Sus scrofa: one gene and its partners. The protein of the gene in region 4 purifies or fractionates together with the protein of the main gene of each other region. This does not show direct contact. Links are inferred from orthologs where the notes say so. Each region holds a gene or a part of one and is shown on either strand. Other genes may lie near its edges.

What was found.
Region 1: the proteins of PFDN5 (region 4) and VBP1 purify together in Homo sapiens (affinity purification with mass spectrometry; 7 studies listed by BioGRID and IntAct, counting the BioPlex papers as one, with this or other methods). This does not show direct contact. The link is inferred for Sus scrofa from reciprocal best matches to the Homo sapiens genes PFDN5 and VBP1.
Region 2: the proteins of PFDN5 (region 4) and PFDN1 purify together in Homo sapiens (affinity purification with mass spectrometry; 7 studies listed by BioGRID and IntAct, with this or other methods). This does not show direct contact. The link is inferred for Sus scrofa from reciprocal best matches to the Homo sapiens genes PFDN5 and PFDN1.
Region 3: the proteins of PFDN5 (region 4) and PFDN6 purify together in Homo sapiens (affinity purification with mass spectrometry; 5 studies listed by BioGRID and IntAct, with this or other methods). This does not show direct contact. The link is inferred for Sus scrofa from reciprocal best matches to the Homo sapiens genes PFDN5 and PFDN6.

The regions. Positions count from the first base shown.
Region 1 is NC_010461.5:125,502,342-125,504,864, forward strand, and holds part of VBP1 (prefoldin subunit 3), read left to right. Parts: intron 1-1,000; coding exon 1,001-1,139; intron 1,140-2,523. UniProt on the Homo sapiens protein: Binds specifically to cytosolic chaperonin (c-CPN) and transfers target proteins to it. Binds to nascent polypeptide chain and promotes folding in an environment in which there are many competing pathways for nonnative proteins.
Region 2 is NC_010444.4:142,075,154-142,079,399, reverse strand, and holds the start of PFDN1 (prefoldin subunit 1), read left to right. Parts: upstream 1-1,399; 5' UTR 1,400-1,515; coding exon 1,516-1,548; intron 1,549-4,246. UniProt on the Homo sapiens protein: Binds specifically to cytosolic chaperonin (c-CPN) and transfers target proteins to it. Binds to nascent polypeptide chain and promotes folding in an environment in which there are many competing pathways for nonnative proteins.
Region 3 is NC_010449.5:29,652,159-29,655,456, reverse strand, and holds PFDN6 (prefoldin subunit 6), read right to left. Parts: upstream 1,766-3,298; intron 1,759-1,765; exon of another isoform or gene 1,616-1,758; coding exon of another isoform or gene 1,534-1,615; coding exon 1,470-1,533; intron 1,274-1,469; coding exon 1,203-1,273; intron 1,121-1,202; coding exon 996-1,120; intron 743-995; coding exon 613-742; 3' UTR 512-612; downstream 1-511. Other genes in the region: WDR46 (WD repeat-containing protein 46), read left to right, coding at 2,077-2,277, 2,373-2,588, 2,698-2,778, 2,909-3,021, 3,145-3,232. UniProt on the Homo sapiens protein: Binds specifically to cytosolic chaperonin (c-CPN) and transfers target proteins to it. Binds to nascent polypeptide chain and promotes folding in an environment in which there are many competing pathways for nonnative proteins.
Region 4 is NC_010447.5:18,511,420-18,515,476, forward strand, and holds the start of PFDN5 (prefoldin subunit 5), read left to right. Parts: upstream 1-1,217; 5' UTR 1,218-1,299; coding exon 1,300-1,371; intron 1,372-1,577; coding exon 1,578-1,680; intron 1,681-1,985; coding exon 1,986-2,017; intron 2,018-3,519; coding exon 3,520-3,594; intron 3,595-3,710; coding exon 3,711-3,816; intron 3,817-4,057. UniProt on the Homo sapiens protein: Binds specifically to cytosolic chaperonin (c-CPN) and transfers target proteins to it. Binds to nascent polypeptide chain and promotes folding in an environment in which there are many competing pathways for nonnative proteins.

The DNA of each region.
Region 1 (2,523 bases), on a different chromosome or scaffold from region 4:
ATTCCATTTGTCAGATGGGGAGAGGGATTCAAGAAATACCCAGGAGGAAGTCAGATTAGAAGAGCTCAGACCTGGGAAAGGTGTGGTTCGCCCCCTTCAGTGTGCATGTGGTCACTCTGGATCCTCAGAATTCCAGACTTAGTCATCTTGCCTTCACCCCTAGTGGCTGGCGTGGGAGGTGGGGAGGGGGCGATAAAAGCTAGCTGTTTGTCTTAATGGATCAAATATAGATAATGGTCTACCTTTGAAAACTTTTAAATTATTGTATCTTCAGCTCAGAAATGACTATTTACATTGATTCAGATGTAATACTATAAATAGTGTCACGATGGACTTAGTAGATAAGATAGTATTTGGTAACTAAAGATAGTGATTCTTATCCTTATTCTTCTATTTATTTATTCCATAAGCAAAAGAATAAGTAACCTGATTTCCCAGAGCCTGTTTCCTTAGCTATGAAGAAGATAACTTGCCTCACTAGGGTTTATGAGAAGTAAATATATTCTCTAGCCCAGGGAGTCAATAAACTTTCTGTAAAAGGCCAGAGAGTAAATATTTTCGGTTTTTGCAGACCATGCAGTCTCTGTTACAACTTGTGTTTAGCTCTGCCACCATGGCATGAAAGTGTAAGTGAATAATGAACAGCTGGGTTTCAGGAGTTCTCACTGTGGCTCAGTGAGTTAAGAACCCGGCTAGTATCCATGAGGATGCGGATTTGATCCCTGCCCTTGCTCAAGTGGGTTAAGGATCTGGTGATGCTGCAAGGTGCCGCCATCTGCAGCGTAGGTTGCAGATGCAGCTTGGATCCTACATTGCTGTGAACTTCCATATTCTGCAGGTGTGGCCGTTAAAAAAAAAAAAGACTAGCCGGGTTTCAGTAAAACTTAGGACGAAGGGCCTCTGGCTGGATTTGACTCAAGGGCAGTAGTTTGCCAGCCCCTGCTTTAATGTATAAAGACCAGGTGAATGTTTATTAATTGTCATGATTTTCTTTCTTCAGGCTAATGTAATGCTTGAATATGATATCGATGAAGCTCAGGCATTGTTGGAAAAGAATTTGTCAACTGCCACAAAGAACCTTGATTCTCTTGAGGAAGACCTCGACTTTCTTCGAGATCAATTTACTACAACGGAAGTCAGTATCCTTTCTCAAAAAAAAAGAAAAAAAAAAAAGAAAAAAAAAGGGCAAAGGGAGGAAGGAAGAAAGATGTTTTTAACATTCTTACCTGCATTGCTTTAGTGAGAAGAATGTTCTTTTTTTTTTTGTCTTTTGTGTTTTTAGTGCCACATCCGTGGCATATGAAGGTTCCCAGGCTAGGGGCTGAGTCATAGCTGCAGCTGCCGGCCTACACCACAGCAGTGCACAGTCACAGCTGCTTCTGCAGCCCACACCACAGCTCACGTAACGACAGATCCTCAACCCACTGAGCAAGGCCAGGGATCGAACCCACGTCCTCATGGATGCTAGTCAGGTTCATTAACCATTGAGCCACAAGGGGAACTCCAATAATGTTCTTATTCTTAGACTACTGTTAAGTTGCAGATTTTATGAGAGTGGTAAATGACATATTTAGAACTAATAAATAAATTTACAGATAGACTGATCTGAATTTGAAGTGGGAAAATGTGAAAACAGCAAATTCAGTTTAGCAAAATGAGTATTTTTCTTTCAGATATTTTCTCAAGACATCTTCATAGCTAATGAAGTAGTGTAATTCCACAGTTGGTTATTAAGGGTCTCCTGCAACTGTGCTAAGTTGCATGGGGCAAAGTATTGCTCCGTAAAACAACTAAGTGATGATTTTATAGTAAAATATAAGTAAGTTCATTTCATATATTCAATACCAAGGCAATTCAAAGTTAGGGAAAGATAGATGTGAGCTAGAATTAGTTCAGAACGGGCTTTGAGAAGATAGAACTTAAGAGTGTTTTCGAAGGCAGTGTAGGATTTATATCGGCAGAGGAGGCCTTTTCTTTCTGACCTGTCTCTCCTCCTGGTTCCTGGCGCAGTCCTGGGCCTCACACAGTCGCCCAAGACAGAAACCTGGGAGTCGACCTTCATGCTTCTCTTTTTTATCAGCGGAAGCCAACCAGGCACCAGATTGTTGTCAACTTTCCCTTGTAAATCTCTCTGCCCATTGCTGTTACTCACATTTTGGCCTTCTAGAGTCTAGACTCAGTAGTTCTCTAGTCTTTTTCTCCCATCTGTCCTTTGCACTATCTCTACCATGAATTTACTGAGTCATGCTTCTTTCTTTTTATTCCTCTGGTTATAATACTTCAGGGGTATTTGCTATGTGGAAGGGCTGCACACGGGCTTTCTGTGAGCTGTGCCCAGCCAGTCCGAACTCCTGCTGCTGGCTTCCTTGCTCCCAGTGCACCCCTGGCCAGGTCTTCTCACCCGCTGTGTGTGCCATGCCTTTTGTACTTCCACAGTCAGTGCCTCCTGCCGGGACTGATTTCCTCTTGTTGACCTAGGTTGCTTCTTTTTATCTTTCATATTTTGGCACAAGCAGCACAACA
Region 2 (4,246 bases), on a different chromosome or scaffold from region 4:
GGGTTGAGCCCTAATCCTCATGGATGTGAGTTGGGTACATTGGCACTGAATCATGATGGGAACTCAATAATATTGTTATTTCCATATTAAATAAGGAGACAAACTCTATTGCTACACAGTAAGTAGAACCAGACATATCTAGGCACAAGGTAGACCAAACCTTAGCTACCTTGGAATCTGTCTGGTTCTAAATTACCTGCCCTTTCCTCTCTCTTACAGGTTTTTAGACTAGGCAAAACATCCATTTCTTTCATTTCTAAAAGTCCAATTACCAGCCATCCCTCTGGTTCAAATGCCAGATATTTTACATAAGATTCTCAAAATGTGGTTTGCAGACCACTTGGGGCATTTGCAAAGGTGCAAATTTCTGGGCCCTGATCTCAAAGATTCTAAGTAATTAAGTTTGGGATAAGGACCAGAGAATCTCTGTGTGCGTGTTTAAAATATACATATTTTATTTTATTCATTAATTTTTTTGTCTTTTTGCCTTTTCTAGGGCTGCTCCCTTGGCATATGGAGGTTCCCAGGCTAGGGGTCTAATCGGAGCTGTAGCCACCGGCCTACGCCAGAGCCACAGCAACGCGGGATCCGAGCCACGTCTGCGACCTACATCACAGCTCACGGCAACGACGGATCCTTAACCCATTGAGCAAGGCCAGGGGTCGAACCCGCAACCTCATGGTTCCTAGTCGGATTCGTTTCTGCTGCGCCACGACGGGAACTCCAAAATATATATATTTGAAACAAACTAATTTGGTTTGTGAGAACCACTGTGTCAAGAAGGTCTTCCATGAGTGTTCAGTATAACTAAGTTCTTTGGAGGAACAGTTCGGCTAAGCCTTCCGGTTTTCTCTATATTGGCATGTATGAGGCGTGGGCTGAATTTTCGTTTTTTGTTTTTGTCTTTTTAGGGCCGCAACATATGGAGGTTCCCAGGCTAGGGGTTGAATCAGAGCTGTAGCTGTCGGCCTGCATCAGAGCCACAGCAGCCATCCCAGTCGTGTCTGTGATCTCCACCACAGCTCAGGCAACACCGGATCCTTAACCCTCTGAGCCAGGCCAGGGATCGAACCTGCAACCTCATAGTTCCTAGTCCGATTCGTTTCCTCTGCACCAGGATGCAAACTCCTGGGATTCTTTGTCCTCCCTGACAGCACAGGGACCCTGACTGAAGAGGTTTTGGCCTCATCTACATACATCTCAATTTAGCAGCACAAACTAAGGTATTTGTCAAAAATACTTAAAACCATGCACGAAATCTGCGCGTGGTGCGGTGTCTGGAAGGATGTGGAGAAACAGGCCAAGCCTATAGGTCACGAGAAACATGTGCTTTTAATCGGAATCTAGGGTTCTCTGGGTGGAGGGGGGATTCCTAGCGCTGGAGAGCGGAGGAAACCAAGCAGCTCGGCTCCTGCGCAGGCGTAGAAGGAAAGGGGACGATCCGCCAAGGCGCGCCCTTCCCCCACCCTTCTTTCCGGCCTTCTCCCAGCGCGCAGGCGCAGAGAGGGAATCAAGATGGCGGCTCCCGTGGATCTGGAGTTGAAGAAGGTAAAAGAGGGTTTTGAGCAGGCAGGCTTCTCTTTGGAAGCTAACGGGACCGTAGACAAGAATATCGAGTGAGACCCAAGTCCCGCGGAGGGAAGAAGGTCCCAGGGCATTGGGGAATGCTTTCCCAGAGTCCTTCAGGCGGGACTGGGTCGCCTTAGGCTGGAGTCGGGGCGAGCAGCTCTTTGCTGGAAGAGAGCTGGTAGGGCTGGGGCTGGTTAAGTCTGGCGGGCCGATAGCTGTTTTGAGTCCCTTGTTCCGGGCTCCAGAGCCCTTTCCTTGTTCTTGGAGCCTTCAGTCCTATTGTAAGGCCTGAAGTGAGCGTTTCAAGTTGGAGCCCCTTGAGACAGCTTGCCCGAGCTGAGGCATCCGTAATTCTGCATCCTAATTTGCTTTGACAAACTCCAGGTCCAACCTGTGTTTTTAGGCCACTTCTTCAATCCCGTACCTCTAAGGTCGCGACATACTCTTAAATCAGATATTCTCAGCACTGTTTGGCTCCCTCCCTAGCCCCTCCACCCCTCCCCTTTTAAAGGGTTTGTCAAAAAAGAAGCAAAGTCTAGTGAAAGTTTTCTAAATGGAATCGGTATCAGAAGGAATTGGGTTTCTCCCTTCCCATAGTTGCCTGTAAATGTGTTGTTACTCAGAGACGTTTTTGCCACTTAAAGAATTGTCAGGATTGTGACACCGCTACCAACTCAAAAGCATATCTTTTTTTTTTTTTTTTTTTGAGAGGGGGATGGGTTGGGGATTGGAAAGGATCTTAGACTTCATCTGCTCTAAACTTTTACTTTTCTAGAAATAAAAACAGTTACAGAAAAGACTCAGGCCATGGTTAGGATCAGAATCCAATATTTTCTGCCTTCCCGCCTTTTGGCCATTAGTTTAGGTACTTCAGAAGGGCATCTTGTACTAAAACCATTCCGGTCAACCTTTGTGTCAGACATAGGGCAGGTGAAATAGCTTTTGCACCCAATAAGCAAAGCTGTTTACTATTGCTCTGAGGATTTGTGTATGTCCTTTTTGCCATTTTTGTTTCGAAACTTGTATCTTTAGTCTTTACGTGGTCTCTAATGCTGTCCCATCTTAGCTTTAACAATATACTAGGTTCCTTAGCAAACTGTGTCGTAAAGCATCCTAAAAGCCCCCCTCCTTTTTTTTTTTTTCTGTTCAAATTAAGTCAGGGTTTAGTGAAAGAGCCAACAATAGAGTACAGCTGTGAATGGGTTTACCTCAGTATTATTTGAATTTGTTGCTAGGAAACCTGTGGGCAATGAATGCAAACTAAGAAAATGTTACGGACTTAAATTGATTGCAGACAAATTGATTACAGACTTAAACGATTATAGACTTAAATGAGTACAGACTTGAATTGGGTAGCTTTGACAACCAGTGAAATTAACTCAAAAAAACTTGTTTAAGGATATTCTAATGTCTTTATAATGTCTTTTTTTTTGGTCATTTTTGGCCACCCCACAGCATATGGAGCTCCTAGGCGAGGGATCAGATTGGAGTTACAGCTGCGACCTCAGCTGCAGCTGCAGCAATGCTGGATCCCTAATCCACTGTGCCGGTGGGGTTTGAACCCTCATCCCAGTGGCTCCCAAGACTCCACTGGTCCCGTTGCGCCACAGTGGGAGCTCGGGTCTTTTTTTTTTTTTTTGAGTGGAGACAAGTAGGACATTTTAGGCACCTCCTCTAACTCTAAACAAAATTTTGAAACCTTACTAGTAGGTGAGAACAAAGCCAGAGTAGAAGTTAAATAGCAGCTTTTGCCATGCATTGCAGCCACAAAAATTATTATTCAAGTATTAAGGCATAAATTTGACAGGATGTGAAAGTCATTCTAGGCTCTTCAACAAGAGTACCTAGGAGCTTTTTGAGTTAAGGGTACCCAAGGGTCAGATTTGGCTTGGTGTGTGCCTCTGTCATGATATAATTCTTCTTCCAGTGTTTCAAATATTTTCTTTTTTGTCCTTCTCTTAAAATATGCATTTTCTGAATATTACTATAGACAGCAGAACGGAAAGGTTTTTGAACTAGAAGTCAAGAAATGGACTTAAGAGCTCACTTTTAGACCTCTTAGTTGTTCAACCATGTGCAAGTCATTTATATCTCTTTCAAACATTTAGTTACTTAATTTATAAGCTGTGGTGATGAAACTGCTTGCCCTAACTCAGGATTGTTGAGAAGAGTAAATGAGGTATTTATTATTACATCTATTAGTGTTCTCATATTAATATTTACATATTAATAGTTCAAAAAATGTGGGAAAGTGCTTTGAAAACTAGTTGTAAAATATAAATGTAGTGAGTAGTTACATTTATGGTTCTTGTTTTGGATCTCTGGGTTTCATCCGCTGACTGTTGCATTTAGTGCCTATATTACTCCTTGGGTACCTGCTACTTGATATGTTTATTATTTACCATGTCTTTGTTCTGCTGCTTCAAATAGACAGCATCTTTTGAGGACTGGGTAAATTCAAAACAGTTGACCCTTGAACAACACAGGTTTAAACTGCGGGGATCCAATTGTACATAGATTTTTAAAGGTATTACTACAGTACCACACACTGTGTGATTGGTTGAAATCCAGATGTAGAACCAAGGATACAGAGGAACTGCTATATGGAGGGTCAGCTGTAAATTACACTGGGATTTTTTTTTTTTTTTGGCCATGCCTAAGGCATGTGGAAATTTCT
Region 3 (3,298 bases), on a different chromosome or scaffold from region 4:
TAAGAAACAATTTGAGGACAAAGAAACGGAAGAACAACATTGTGGACAACGTATAAACATGGAGGACGTATGATATCAGAGCGTTAGGTGTTGAGATTTTAAATCAGTTTAAGCTACATTCAAGCAAATTCTAAGAAAAAAAGACTAAAACGAATTAGAGGGATGCCAGGGCTATTTTGAAGATGATGGGAAATCAGCAGGGAGGGTCCCCATGTTTCATTCTGGGGTCACAGCTTAGAAAATTCTGAGTTCAATTAAACTCACTTTACCCAAAACCACTGCATTGCAAATGCCCTTCTCATGTTTCCAACCAGGATAATGGAGACCTAAGGGCTGCATATACAGGAAAAATGAGATTTGAGATATTTCATATTTCAGTCTCAATAAAGAAGGCTTACTCGGCCTCAGAGTGCCCAGTTGCAAGAGTCTGGACCTGAGGGAGTCACAGAAGCGATAAACATATAAGGGGAGAAGGGACCAGGGGAAAAGGTGGAGATGATTACAACAGAAGTGGCTGGTGAGAAAACAGCCAGGTGTTTTCACATTTTATTCACTACAGTAGAGACCCTTGAGCTGCCTCATTCCCACCCCCTCCCTCCCCCCTCCACAGGGTCAGGCCTTCCCAGGAGCCCCTGCCTTGGCTGCCTGGGCCCGCTGGAACTCCTGCTGCAGCTGAGCCAGGGTCTCCCTCTGTTGCTCTGACTGGCGCTCCAGTTCCCGGAGTTGGGATTCGTATCGCTTACTGAGGAAGACAGAACACCAAAAACGGTGAGGTCTTAATGAGACTTACTGCTGAGGATGCTGAAGGCAGGAAGGAGATTGGTGGGGAACGTGAGATCCAAGGGAGGGAGGAGAAGAGGGGTTAAAAGGAAAGCGGCTGGAGGAACTGGGTGGTGGTGGTGGTGGGAACAGCTCTGGAAGCTACTCTACAAGGCTTTCTCAACACGTCTTCCACCGTGGCATGTCTGTCAGAAGGTGCTGGAACAAAGACTCACATTTCAGCTGTGATGTAGTCCAGCCTTTTCCCCACTGTGGCTCGAGCCTCTCCCAGCTCCTGTTTGACCAGCACGGGACCCAGAAGTTTAAAGACCACGTTGGATCCATCCAGCAGGGCCAGTTCCTGATGGAGGGGCAGGACATCTGTGATCAGAAACATTGCCAGGACAAGTTCCCTCCTCGCCCCACAAATCCTGTGCTCTCACCTCCTTCACGATATTATTTTCTGTTAGTTGTGCTTCTAGTTTCTGCCTCCCTGACATGGACTTACTCAAGTCTGGCGGGTGGGAGGGAAGACTTGATTAAAGACATCAGATATGCCACCCAATCCCTACCGTCCTGGTGAGAAATGGAGCGACAAGGACGGGAACACCATGGAGGTGGGGAAGGGGCACGGGTGGGATGGAGAGGGGCAGGACGCATCTTGTAAGGCTTCGGGTAGTGAGAGAACCGGGACAACCCCGTTCCCCTACCCTTCTGTAGCTGTTGATATTTCTCCACTTCTCCCTGTAGCTTCTTCTGGATCAGCTCAGCCATGGCGAGGACGAAACTCCGCGGGAAGAGGGAGAGGGGCGCTGGGTTGCACACTCTGGAAGGTACCCGAGCTCCCCTTTCCGGCCTGCGGAAATGACAGCCCTCTTGAGAAGCAGCCCCTCGGGGCACCGCAGTCTCCCCCCGTCCGAGATATCGACTCCACCCCTGCTCTAGGCGGCAGCGGGGGAAAAGAGACCCCAGAGCCCTCAACCGAACGCCTGCTCTATCTACTCACGTTCTTCTTTCAGTGTTGGTGAACCCGGAAGTAAACAGAGAATGCTGGGAAGAGACGGCGCCGGAAGCTCTCGTCTGACGCATGCCGGGAACTGTAGTTCTCACTTGTTAGACGAGTGGCGTTTTTCTAAAAGGCTGGACTCGGAACGTTCTAGGCAACATGCGGAAACGAAGCTGGAAAAAGGAACTGCACAGTCAACTTGAGTCCTGGCTCCGGACCACCTCTCTTTCATTACTCAAGCATAAACTGCCTCACGGGGGCGGGGCCAAGGTCTGCCCCCCACCTCACTGGAGAGAGCGCCCTCACCCAAGATGGCGCCTCGAGGGCTTCGAACCTGGGGCGGAGCTGATTGGATGAGGGCCGGAAGACTTCCGGGAGTTTTCAATCCGACTGTGGGACAGCTGAGAGGAGTTTGCACGTGTGTCGCGGTTCGGGTGGGCTTGATGGAGACAGCCCCCAAGCCTGGCAGTGATGTCCCGCCCAAGAAGGACAGACTTCAGGCCAAGAGAAAGGTAGAGACCTCCTTGGGTTGAAAGGAAAGTTTTTGGCTGAGGGGTTGGAGGGGCGGGGAGGAGGCAGCGGAATATCAGGGGTCCTGATCTGCCAGCAGAAACCTCGGCGATACTGGGAGGAAGAGACCGCTCCGACAGCTGCCGGAGCCTCTCCGGGTCCCCCTCGTAAACAGAAGAAGAATCGAGAGGCCCGCCCTCAGAAGCCAAAGAACGCTCCCATCCAAAAGAAGTCTCGGTTCCCCAAGAAGCCCCAGGTCCCAAAGAAATCCCAAGAATGGAGGAGTCCAGGCCCTCAGCGGAGCTTGTCTGGGGTGAGCCTGGGACCTTATACGGTGGCGAGGCAAGTCTCCTCGTGCTTTGAGGGTACGAGAGTTGGGATCAACCCGAGCCTGTTTACTAATTGCCCCATTCCTGTCCCAGGCCCAGGACCCGTTTGCAGGCCCCGCCCCTGTCCCTGTGGAGGTAGTTCGAAAGTTCCGTCGCATCGACAAATCCAAAAAGGTGAGAACCGGTCGGAGAGTGGGGAGGAGTTGCAGGCAGGGAGTGTCTGGGTGAGCTGGATGGAGGCGCGGTCAGGTGGCTCTCCTGTAACCCCCATACTCGCCCATTCCTCTCCCACCAATGATTGTAGCTGCCCCGTTCCAAGTCCAAAGCCCAAAGCCGGCTTGATGCTGCTGAAGCTGAGGAAGAGGAAATAAGCGTCAAAGCTGCTCGTTCTGAGCTGCTGCTGGCTGAGGAACCTGGGTAAGTGGACCGTAATGTGGGCCTCCCCAGCTCCTGGTTTATGAGGCTCTCATTTCTCACTTTTATGTTGATACACTGACTTCACATCGGAAAGCTGAATGCAACCCTGACATTCACTGGCAGGTTTCTGGAAGGTGAGGATGGGGAGGACACAGCAAGGATACGCCAGGCTGACATCGCAGAGGCTGTGGATATTGCAAGTGCAGCCAAGGTGAGCCTGAGGGTGTAAAAGGATCCAGCGGGCTGACTGGGGTGCAGAGCAGGATGGAAGTGGGGC
Region 4 (4,057 bases):
ATTCCTCACTTCTAGCACATGGTAACACTATTGAGTAACAAACCTGTTGCTGTGTTTGTTGGTTGATGAGGTACCTCCTTTGTGTTCTCTCCACCCACTCATCTCCACTCCATCTCTAGTCCCGCTTCATCTGCCCAAAGCCTCCTTTTACGACCAGAGAACTTAACAAGCTTCTTCCTTCCTTGCCAGTTGTCACTAGGGTTTATATCACCCACATGGTTTACTTTTTTTTTTTTTTGGTCTTTTTGGGGGCGCACCCGCAGCATTTGGAGGTTCCCAGGCTAAGGGTCAAATTGGAGCTGTAGCTGCGGACCACAGCCACAGTAACGTGGGATCCCAGCCGCGTCTGAGACCTACACCACAGCTCACAGGCAATGCTGGATCTTTAACCCGCTGAGCGAGACCAGGGAGCGAACCAGCGTCCTCATAGATGCTAGCCAGACTCGTTTCTGCTGAGCCACGACGGGAACTCTTTTTAAGATTCTTAAATTCAGGAGTTCCCGTCGTGGCGCAGTGGTTAACGAATCCGACTAGGAACCGTGAGGTTGCGGGTTCGGTCCCTGCCCTTGCTCAGTGGGTTAACGATCCGGCGTTGCCGTGAGCTGTGGTGTAGGTTGCAGACGCGGCTCGGATCCCGCGTTGCTGTGGCTCTGGCGTAGGCCGGTGGCTACAGCTCCGATTCAACCCCTAGCCTGGGAACCTCCATGTGCCGCGGGGAGCGGCCCAAGAAATAGCAACAACAACAACAATAACAACAACAACAACAACAAAAAGACAAAAAAAAAAAAGATTCTTAAATTCACAGGAATCCTGTTTGCTGCAACTTGTCGACGCTAGGCTTGGGATGTTTTGTGTAATGAAAGCGCTCCTGGGAGTTCCTATCGTGGCTCAGCGATAAGGAACCGGACTAGTATCCATGAGGTTGCGGGCTCGATCCCAGTCCTTATTTAAGTGGGTTAAGAATCGGCCGTTGCAGTGAGCTGTGGTGTAGGTCGCAGACACAGCTCGGATCCCGCGCTGCTGTGGCTTAAGCCGGTAGCTGCAGTTCCAGTTCGACCCCCAGCTTACGAACCTCCATATGCCTCCAGTTCGGTCTTTAAAAAAGAAAGCGCCGCTGTCTCTTCCACTCCAACGCAAGTAAATCACAGAGAAGACCCAGCTCTTCCTCCGCTCCCGGACGGAAGACCATAGAGATGTCGGGGGCAGCGAGGCCTCCCGGCGTAGCCATCGAGAGGCGCAGAGGACGGCTAGAGCGTTGCTCACCCGGCGGCTTCCGCTTCGTTAGTCCTCCTTCCCAACATGGCGCAGTCGGTTAACATTACCGAGCTGAATCTGCCGCAGCTGGAAATGCTCAAGAACCAGCTGGACCAGGTGGGAATAGGCCCCCAAAGACACCCCTTTCCACCTCACTTCCTTCCCGCCACGCGTACTCCCTCGCTCCCCATTCTTCCCCAGCCGAGGGAGGAGGTTTCCCTTCCCAGGCAAAACCCCGACTCGGTCCCAGCACCCGCCCCTTCCCGGCGGTGCCCTCCTCTCCCACCAGCCCCCGTACTAACCCTCATTCCTCTTCTCTCTAGGAAGTGGAGTTCTTGTCCACGTCCATTGCCCAGCTCAAGGTGGTACAGACCAAGTATGTGGAAGCCAAGGACTGTCTGAACGTGCTGAACAAGAGCAACGAGGGTATGCGGTAGGCGCGTGAAGGCAAGCTGGGGGTTGGGGCGAGCCGGCTTTTCCTCTCTCTTCCTTATCCAGTTGTCCTTATCTGAGACGAGAGAACGGTCCTTTACGTATTGCATACTGCTGCAGGAGCCCTTTGCATGTTGCCTTGGTAGACTTGAAATGTACAGGACATTCTTCTCCTGTTGCCCCTATTTCCATACTTATCGCACAGTCTCTGGGCGCTGTGCGGTGCTGAAACTCCCTTGAACGTGTAAAGGCTGGAGAAGTCCACCTTCCCTACATGTCTGTCTTAATTGCTTTCACAGGGAAAGAATTACTCGTCCCACTGACGAGTTCTGTATCCTTTCTGCAGGAACTGTTTCCCCGCCCACTCCTTTTCTCCTTCACCCCCTACCCTGCAAAAAAGGGCAGAGGTTCTAATTGCTCCAGAGATTCTGAGAATACTCAGTACACACTTCGTAGCTCTGCTATCTCATTGGAGCCAACATCCAGCTAATGTTTGGTGAGCACCAAGGTGTATGTAGAATTGAGGTGTGATTTTTTTCCTTCGCTGTTTGAGGATATAATCTAATAGGGAGATAAAACTGGTGGTTTACACTTTTGACTTGTTTTTTGGGTTCTTTTGCCTCACCCGCAGCATGTGGAAGTTCCGGGGCCAGGGATTGAATCTGAGCCACCTCAGAGACAACACTGGGTCTTTAACCTGCTGCACCGCAGCAGGAGCTCCCTACCCTTTTTACTAATAACTTAGAAAACAGAAGCAGTGGAAGAAGAGAGGATATAGAGACAAGGGGGTTGGCTCTGTTTATTAATCTTCAATTTTAGTTTAATTGTGGATCTTATTTCTAATCCGTTGTTACTGAGAAGCCTGGATTGTGTCTATCTGTTGAGTGTTTTACTTGAATGAGCCAATTGTGTTAACAGGGCACCTATAAACTGCACCTGAGAATTGATAGGCTGAAAAAGAAACACAGGAATAGCCGCATAGTAGGGACTGCTTAGATAAGGAACATTAAATCTATTGGGAATGACCTACTTCATGGTTGGGAGTGTTAAAGGAGAAATGAGGCTGGCTTTTCACTTTTACTATTTAACAGCATCAGGAAAAATCATTCCAGGAGTTCCCATTGTGGCGCAGCAGAAACAATCCACTACTAACCCTGGCCTCCCTCGCTGGGTTGGGGATCTGGTGTTGCCGTGAGCTGTGGTGTAGGCTGGCAGCTGCAGCTCCGAATCAACCCCTAGCCTAGGATCTTCCATATGCTGCAGGTGTGGCCCTAAAAAGAAAAAAGAAACACTGCATCTAGTCTTTATGGAGTTCCCATCATGACTCAGTGGTTGATGAATCCGACTAGGAACCATGAGGTTGCGGATTTGATCCCTGGCCTTGCTCAGTGGGTTAAGGATTCGGCGTGGCCGTGAGCTGTGGTGTAGGTTGCAGACCCGGCTCGGATCCCGCGTTGCTGTGGCTCTGGCATAGGCCGGTGGCTACAGCTCCGATTTGACCCCTAGCCTGGGAACCTCCATATGCCGCGGGTGCAGCCCTAAAAAAGACAATAAAAAAAGCCATCTAGTCTTTCTGGAAGGGCTAATGGGAAGAACTCTAAGAACTTCTTGGAGGGTGGCAGTGAGATCAGGGCAAGATCAGCATGTGTAATTTTCTCCATAAGGAACCAACTTCCCTGTGTCTCCCCTTTGGAGTGTGTAGGCCTCCAGATTATCTGATCCCGGTACCTTTTAAGTTTTTAGAAAAAGGGGTTCTTAGGAGGTCAAGCAGATGAGCCGACAGGAAATCAGGACTCATGCTGGGCTAGTTTTCCCTTAATCCTCGCTTCTCAGATGTACGTCCCTGGGAAGTTGCATGATGTGGAACATGTGCTCATCGATGTGGGAACTGGCTACTATGTAGAGAAGGTGAGTGGAAGGAAGCGTATGGATGCCCCGCTGAGGAGGCAGAGGGAGTTTAGGGAGAGATCCAGAGTGCACAAAGAGGTCTCCTCTTAGCCCCTCCTTCACCTCTGACCTTCCAGACAGCTGAAGATGCCAAGGACTTCTTCAAGAGGAAGATAGACTTCCTCACCAAGCAAATGGAGAAAATCCAGCCAGCTCTGCAGGAGAAGCATGCCATGAAACAGGGTAAGCTTGGCCTTGGGCACCTCTTCACCATTTCTACCTCCATAATAATCAAGAACATGAATTGCAGCGTGAACCATGGCGGGTGTCCCCTTTGTTGGATTAAAACCATGGTTTTCTCTTTGGTGTCTTGATGTATTATTCTTTAGATGCTGTGCATCACATATCCGCTATTTCTAGATTCCTGGGTTCAGTGCTTGAGAAATTTAGAGAAAGGAAATCCCATCTGTGTTTTTGTGTTTGA